Solanum lycopersicum: one gene and its partner. The main gene of each other region encodes a partner of the protein of the gene in region 2 in a complex. Links are inferred from orthologs where the notes say so. Each region holds a gene or a part of one and is shown on either strand. Other genes may lie near its edges.

Region 1 (3,574 bases), on a different chromosome or scaffold from region 2:
CCGCGAGCAGCATATAGCAGGTGTCCGGCGATGACCAATTTTTTGAATCTAGCAGTAACTTCTGTACAAAAGAAGTGAAAAAAAAATAAAACAGTTTCTTAAGATTGAATACGTTGCTCTTTTGACATCTCTAACACCTCACCGATTTAATTGTATGGTTGAAGTTATAGCAGCAGAGTCATGTAGAACAGGGACTCTGCCATGTACATAGGTCAGCAAGAAGATCTCGAAGCTGGTCAATCAGAAGTTTGAGATGCTTGTTCTTGTCTACAAGCTCCTGCAATTTGTAAGAACAATAGAATATGCTTTAAATCTTGATCACAATAGCAACTTGATTTTTCACTACCGTAAGATAATAGAAAACTATTAGGCATGCACTCAAGTACGATAAAACTCTACCTTCACTTGAGGACTTCTTATTGCCACTAGGGGGAGACATAAAGCAAATGAAACAGGATTTGACTAATTTTAACGCAATAGGAATAAAATTAATAATAATACAGTATGTACAACAAGCAGAGGATGTTGAAACCAAGTTTTCATATGTTATCACAAAATCATATTGTTCTGATTTGAGGTTGTGACAAATATCGAGACTTGAGAAAGTTTGTACAGTAAGACATTTTGTCATGTGTCCGGAATGAAAATGTAACATGTAGTATACCTCAATATTGTTTTAATGGATAAGAAATTACTCAATGGATCAAGGAAGACATCAGTCAAGGTTCAAATATTGGCACACACATTTGCTTCACCAAACCCACCCATCATGCATCCCAAAAACCAACAAAAATCCAAGGAAATTCTAATATGTCAAAATTTGATATGTTATCAATACCTTCTTTAATGAAGAGGCCCGGTCTTCCAGCTGCTCAATTTCCGCTTGATCTGCTGCAGATAGTGAACCACTAGCAGAAGCAGCTTCCAATGCTTTTGCCTAGCTAACAAAGCCAGTAATGAGTGTGAAGTATCATACAATAAGTTAACAACTTTCCAAAATGTACAAGAAAATATAACTTGTTAATCATGAGAATTGAGACAACAGAAAGGAGAGTTTGACAACTTCCAGTTAAAACGGAGCAAATACTTGCACAACTCTTAAGAAAGAAGTTACTAAAAGAACTCATTTAATGTGTAGTCGGACATATGTTGAGCAACAAAAATGCACTCAACATCAGTGATTTATTTGTTCATACTGACAAACAAAATTCTTACTGCTTAACCAGATTCTCTCCAATGCACAAATGTTAAGGCAATCCATACACCAACACCAAGGACTTGAGATGTGATTATAGTGCTAATTCTTTCTTGAAAAGGATAACACGCAGTAGTTTATCTTGGTATAAACACTTATACCTCATGTGCGTTTAAACAGCAGAAACAAGAACAACCTCGAAAACATAGTTAAATATCTTCCCCCATCCCCAGCCCCCAACAGCCACCCACAAACCCAGAAGAATATAAGACAAATCAGAAAAAGAGTAAGCAGCACAGTTGAGCTTCATCAACTGATGACGAGGGATGATCAAACGACTGAATATTATATTCATAGTGAAGAAATATTATCCCCATGTCTAGAACATCAAAATATACAATTGCCATGTGCAAATGTTGCTCATATTGGTAAGGGCAAATTGTGCTAGTATATAACCACATGATGTCTTTCCCATATCAATCACCAAAACTGTTTAACCCCTTGTTTTGTGATTAAGATCAATCACCAAACACTTTTCACACTGAATTTACCTTTATCGCTAGATAATGTCTTTTTTTTTCTGCTCAAACTGGATAATGTTTTTCTCTCCTACAGTACTCCGAAGGAACTACATTTCTAGAATATCTATTTGAGTTTCATTCCCAATCAAAACTACCATCTAACAGAACACCAACACCACCTATGGCTCAACACAAGCTGGTTGGTGGTGGAAGTATACGAATCCTCCATATCCATATGGAACCACTTCACTCCAGTATCAAATAGTTTTAACCTTTGGAACCTCTAAAACTAGAGGTTATCTACGTTGGATCCAAATCTTTGCGGTCACGTTGAACTACCTTTGGCATTGAACAAAGCCCCAGTCTTTTACACATTTTCTGTTTAATGGACTTCACTAGAAGTGATTCATTCATATAGCTGAACCGAACTAGTTTATGATCAAGCCATTGTTGATTCATGATTACATCAAACTAACTTTTCCTGAGATCACTATCTTAAATTACAGATATCACACAATTACAAAAATGTTTTAAAAAATTGCATTTTTATACGTAAAATTACCTTTTGGGAATTAGAAATTGCAGTAAGAACAGAACGCAAGGAAGCAATAGAGGACTTATAACGCAGACGAGATTCATCAAGAGCACCACCACCAATATCCAAATGCTGAGCTGAAGCAGAAGAAGACGAAGAAGTATCAGACGAAATGTCGCCGTTTGTATGGTGCTGCTGTCCATTACTCAAAACACCACTAGCACCAACTCCTCCACCGGCCACCGCCACCGCAGAAGAAGCAGCAGCTGTATTTAGAGTGGACCAAAGTGATGGATTACAGAGTTCATCGTTCATGGCGGAGAGAATTTGATGTGCTGCTTCTATTGTATCTTCTAAATGCTTTTGCCCTTCTACTGCTAGTTCTTGTATGGTTTTAGGGCTTGTAATTGTGCCTTTATCCTCCATACCGGGTAATGTCACCGGCTTGTCAAAACCCTAGATCGACGGCGGCGGTAGTGGTGGCGATCGGCGGTGCGAGAAGTTGTAAGGAGAATTAATTTAAGCATAAAATGACGTCGTTTTATGCGTGGCGTGTACTTTTTGGGCCGGGTAAGGAGCTATGTATTACTGGATCAAGCCCAAAATCAAGTTACTTGGGTCAAAATTCAAGGAAAAATTATATAAATTAATACATTTTAATAAATAATTACTGATTTTAGCGATACTTTTTATTTATTGTCATTTATAGCAATATTATGTAAAATCTGCAATATGAATTAAAAGTGAATTATGTATGCAATGTACGTGAATTATAAGTTGTTTTTTGAAATATATTAAGTTTGTTTACTAAATTTGACACATTCTATTATAAATGTATTAAAATGTGTGAAAAACGTATTATCCATCGTTAAAATTTGTATTATATGTAATATTAAATTGTTATTTATAATATGTATAAAACTTGTATTATAAATAAATTAAAACTGATTAAGTAATTTTTTTTTATTATTGCTATAAATGGTAAATATTTTTTTAATTATAGTACGTGTATATAAGTTCCCCGAAATTCAATGGGGGAAAGAAGTGCACAAATATCTGTGTTTAACGTTGCAGAAAAATTACCAGATTACATAAACATTCCTATCATATTTACTACGTAGTTTTTTTTTCATAATTTTGAAAAGTTACGCATCGTCTTCTAATTAGTAATTTCATACTAGATGTCAAGTCATATAGACCTAGATGCATGTAATATACTACTATATACACTTTAAAATATAAACTTATAGAAAAAAAGACGAGTGAAAAAGACGTAAAGTGAATGAGAGAGAGTCTATGTATCGCAAATAGATGCAAACTAAA
Region 2 (4,610 bases):
CAAAACCAAAAATGAAACCCAAAAAAGTAGCAGAAAATCAATAATTGTCCTCATTTTGTTTAAAAGATTAACAAGTTCATACTCTTTGGAAAATATGTGCAATCCTGGAGTAAAGTGCCCTTTGAAAAGAATCTGAATTGGATATTTACGCATGTCGTATATACAAACAGCCAGTGTGCATGTGTTACTAACTAATCTGAGCTTCTTCCTCCTCATGAATTGTCTGAATGCTAAATAAGGAGAGATGAACCATAACAAGTTTAAAGAGATCAGTGCAAGCAGTGCACTTTTTGCTCTTCAATTTTACGGGGAAATGGTCCCAATTTTCTTTTTTAATTGGTGAAATGGACCTAATTCTCCTTGGTAGATGAAGAAATGAGATAAAATTCCTACCTATTGGAGAAGTTGGGAATCCTGTAGGTTGATCAGGAGCTTGGCTGTAAAACTAGTGGCCTGTCCTCACATACTAGGATTTACCATTAAGCATATCAAAACAGTGGATCCAATTTATGAATCTATTTTCTTTGTTATTTTATGTCAGTCTTTGACTGTAAAAAGAACACAAAATAGGCTAAGCATTCGCTTCGGATAAAAGAAACCCAGAATCCTCTTTAGATGAATGATCAAAAGTATTTTGAATGGAAGACATCACAAAGATGAAAAAGGATGGGAAAATCCTTCTTAATTGTAAGGGGAAAAATTGAAGAGAGAAATATCATTAGGTATCATTAAAACTGAACCAAACCAAATAACAACAACCAAACTGATTGATATGTATTTGGTTTTGGTTTCAACCAATACTGACCCAAACCGAACCATGAACATCCCTAATTGGAGGTCAAGGGTTGATAAAGATTGCACTGGAGCATGGTTCAGAGGAGTACACGTGGAAAGGAAATGGGGATGACAAGTTACCAGTCCTTATCAAAGAGCAGCTAGGATGGGGATACGGGATACCACACAACTAGGAGGACTTCTCCCAATTTGTTAAAAGTCAACATGGGATGTGGCAGAGGCCTGAGAGAACTCTTTTCTGGACCTTTTAAATGAATCATAATGACTCAAGAGTTGAATGAGGTAAACAATTTTAGCCTTCAACTTTTGTAAATTTTGCGAGATGAGAGGCGTTCGCAGTTGGATGGTGATTCATCAGGCCCTCTCACCGCTAAATCTATTTACGGGTTGTCATAAAGGACTCAGTGGATTCCCTAATGGAACTAGTTGGATATTAAAGGCCAAAAAAAGTGGCTTTTCTGTGAAGGAACTGCTAGGGATTCAATTCTCATAGCTGACAATTGGAGGAAACAAAAGAAGATATATGCCTGTTCTTTATGAGTAAAAGGGTAATGGTAAGGTAGCCCATACTAAGCACGCTATACGTCGTGCAAATTCACAAAAAGATACCTTAAACCAATCAAGATTTTTGTACAAACTGTACCTGCCCCAGTCCAGGCATTGAGGCTTGCCTAAGTTGCTGTTGGGCAAGAATTTGCTGCTGATGCTGAGGTAACTGCAGCATTTTCTGCCTCTGTTGGAGCTGATGCTGCTGCAACTGCTGCTGCTGCTGTTGCTGCTGCTGTTGCTGATGGGTCTGTTGCTGAGGAGATGGTGTATTCATCATGTTAGCACTAGACCTAGGTGAGTTGACATGTTGCAGAGGTGATGCTGTTGTAGTATCAAAGGAAGTGGGCCCAGAAGGAGAAACTGCAGCCCGAAGTGCTCCAGAAGCCTACTCCAAGAGCAATACATACATATTAGAACTGACGAACTTAAAAGACAATAAGGACTCAATATATTAAAATAACTTGGGGAACATTGATTTAATGTAATGTTTAGTTAAGGAGAAAGAATGGAAAAAGGATATGATCAGTATACTTCTGGCAGATTAATCATTTATTGTTTCCATATTACTGATTAGCGCCATGAATAGAAGGAGATTTGCATTTCCTCTCCGAACTCTTACATAAGTATTTAATAGCAAACTCTACTTGATCTCCCATCCTCCAATAAATTCAAATAAATGAGGGAAATAATTCCTACAGCTCTTTCACCCCCAGAAAAAAAAAAAACAGGCGTTACAACTTGCACGAGAAGTTGATGTGTAACCAAGGATGTAAGTATACAAAGAACATGCAGTAGTTGATATTAATTACAATCAGGGTAGTGTATTTGGTGTGTAACATAGAACATGTATATGATTATTAAATACTATAGTGGACCTAGTAAACTCCTTCAGTAACTAATTGATCTAAACCCATTCTAAGATGTGCAGTTTTTTGGTATCCATTTGGTGCTATGGAACATGTGAAAATAATCAGGTTGGCCAACCTAAAAAGAGGTCTGTAAACCTAGAGTGAACTGGGAATAAAAAGGCATGACAATTCCCTCCCCGAGAACAGTAAAAGAGATAGTAGAACCATACAGAAGACGACAAAAAGGTAGCCCAATTCACTAGGCTCCCTCTATACCTGGGACTAGAGAAGGTGCAGACCTTACTTTGCATTTTTGCGAGAGACCTACACATGGCTAAACCTGTGACCCCCTGGTAACACGGCATACCGCTTATCTTTGTTAAGGCTCCTTTTTTCGAAACAGAAAGAAACCATAGCATAATTTTTTAAATGATAAAGATAGAATAGCATAATTGTGTGATAACTACTTGTTCCTTATTCATAACTCCTTTAGTAACAAAATTATGGGTGGTGGAAGTAAAATTCATGTGTTCCAAATTGATATTCACTCATTAACAAGATAACCACTTGTCCCTTTGTTCATAGCTCCTTTGAATAACAACATTACAGGACGCCGGAGGGTGGAAGTAAAATCATGTTTCAAATTGATCTTCATCCCTTAAGCAAAAGGCATATTTACAAGGCAAATTATAAGAAATCTGACCTGTAACAAAGCTCCCTGACTATTAACATTGCTCGATGGAAAGGGAGGAGTATTCTTCAGATAAGTCCCTACTTGAACACAGCATCAATTTCTCTAGTCAGATGTTCATGAAATAAAGTGGAAACAGTAGGACAACAATAGATGATAGGCTACCGGATGAATCAGCGAAAGACTGGGGGCCATCAGACACTGTAAGCACATCTACCAAATGACCAGGAAGTGCAGAAGTAATATGCCTTTGGTCTCCAGGTACACGTAATCCTGCATAAGTACCATTTTCATGAAATCTGTGAGCATACATGTTAAAACAAATCATAAACGAGTGTACCGCCAAACACCACCAAAGGGATGCTACACACACTAGACACATGTCAGGTTTATTGTACATATATATTGTGATGCATAGCAGAAGCACATTGAAGCATCTGACTTGCAATTGCACCTTCTTCGTCATCAGAAATATGTGCAATTTTCTGATTAACAAGGCACTCAGTGGATCTGATAGTTTGCAAGAATCCTTCTCTCTTTCTTTTAGTTTAGATTAAACATCAACATAGGGACCATTGGGGTCCAAGTATCTTTAGCGTCAATGTCTTGTGCAAGCAAAACATTTAACGAACTCTGAGAAGGAGAAAAGATGTTTCTGGGAAAAAACTCAGAACATAAATATTATCACCTTCACCATGATTTACTGCAGTGCGAAGTAAATTTTCTTGTTCCTGAATTTTTGCTGCTTGTGCCTTGTCAATAGTTGGAAGCAGTGTTGGCCCCTGTCTGGTTCCAAAGTAGGCTTTGCGCGTATCAGCTATGACTTTCTCAGCACTTTCACATGCTGCTCCAATCATATCAATTCTAACCTGTGTGTTATAGGTATATTAGAAAGCCACAAGGATACAGAAACAGAAGAAATAGCATCTGCAGAGCTTTCCACCTTCAACTTCTCAATTTGGGATGCTACCGATAGGTGTTGCATGCTGTGTAATAATTGCTCCCTTTTGGCATTATCTTCGACTTCCATCTCTGGCAGCAGCTTTGATGACAGCATAACAGGTAGAACTGCATCGAAAAGTATTTGTAAGTAACAACTAACAGAAAGCTAAGCTGCGCGGACTCTTCACTTTTGATGCCGCACCCGTGTCAAATTCTTCAAAAATACAATACTTTTGGAAAATCCGATACACACCCACTGAGAGTCTGAGCAACATAGACAGAAAGCATCTTTCGGATTTTCTGTCAACACAAATATACTCCACAGCCCAAAAAATACATGCTTATTTCTTTCATTAACCTTATCAGAAATTTGGAAAAGAAATTCAGGAAAGTGCAGAATCAGTAAATCATCTTTTCTTGCGTTGTGCGGTGGATGCAGGCATATGGCATGTGTTCCTTTCCCTATTCAGTTTGAACTGGGTGATGCCTCAAACTATCAGAGAAGTTGTTGTGAGTTGGGACCATTTGATAGTTGATGGGGCCATCAGGAACACCTGGAGAATGATTCCAGCATGTATTTTTTGGTGCCTATGGACAGAAAGGAATCAACGGTGTTTTGATGGAATTTCAACTCTTAATCACTCACTCAAAGCTAAATGTTTGTTCATTCTTTTTTGTTGGTCCAACCCGTCTTATGTGAATAGTTACACTACTTTCTTAGATTTTATTAGCTCTTTAACTCTAGGCCAGACATAGTCATGTTTTAAGCCTTCTCTAGATTTTTT

Evidence for each region. The genes of interacting proteins can lie anywhere in the genome.
Region 1: mediator of RNA polymerase II transcription subunit 8 (region 2) and mediator of RNA polymerase II transcription subunit 30 share a complex: the UniProt entries of both Arabidopsis thaliana proteins name them as parts of the mediator complex. The link is inferred for Solanum lycopersicum from reciprocal best matches to the Arabidopsis thaliana genes MED8 and AT5G63480.

Annotation. Positions count from the first base shown.
Region 1 is NC_090807.1:2,029,146-2,032,719, forward strand, and holds the start of mediator of RNA polymerase II transcription subunit 30, read right to left. Parts: upstream 2,801-3,574; 5' UTR 2,678-2,800; coding exon 2,279-2,677; intron 938-2,278; coding exon 839-937; intron 278-838; coding exon 179-277; 3' UTR 143-178; intron 62-142; 3' UTR 1-61. UniProt on the Arabidopsis thaliana protein: Component of the Mediator complex, a coactivator involved in the regulated transcription of nearly all RNA polymerase II-dependent genes.
Region 2 is NC_090802.1:67,515,507-67,520,116, reverse strand, and holds part of mediator of RNA polymerase II transcription subunit 8, read right to left. Parts: intron 3,952-4,610; coding exon 3,827-3,951; intron 3,753-3,826; coding exon 3,572-3,752; intron 3,157-3,571; coding exon 3,049-3,156; intron 2,967-3,048; coding exon 2,896-2,966; intron 1,730-2,895; coding exon 1,439-1,729; intron 1-1,438. UniProt on the Arabidopsis thaliana protein: Component of the Mediator complex, a coactivator involved in the regulated transcription of nearly all RNA polymerase II-dependent genes.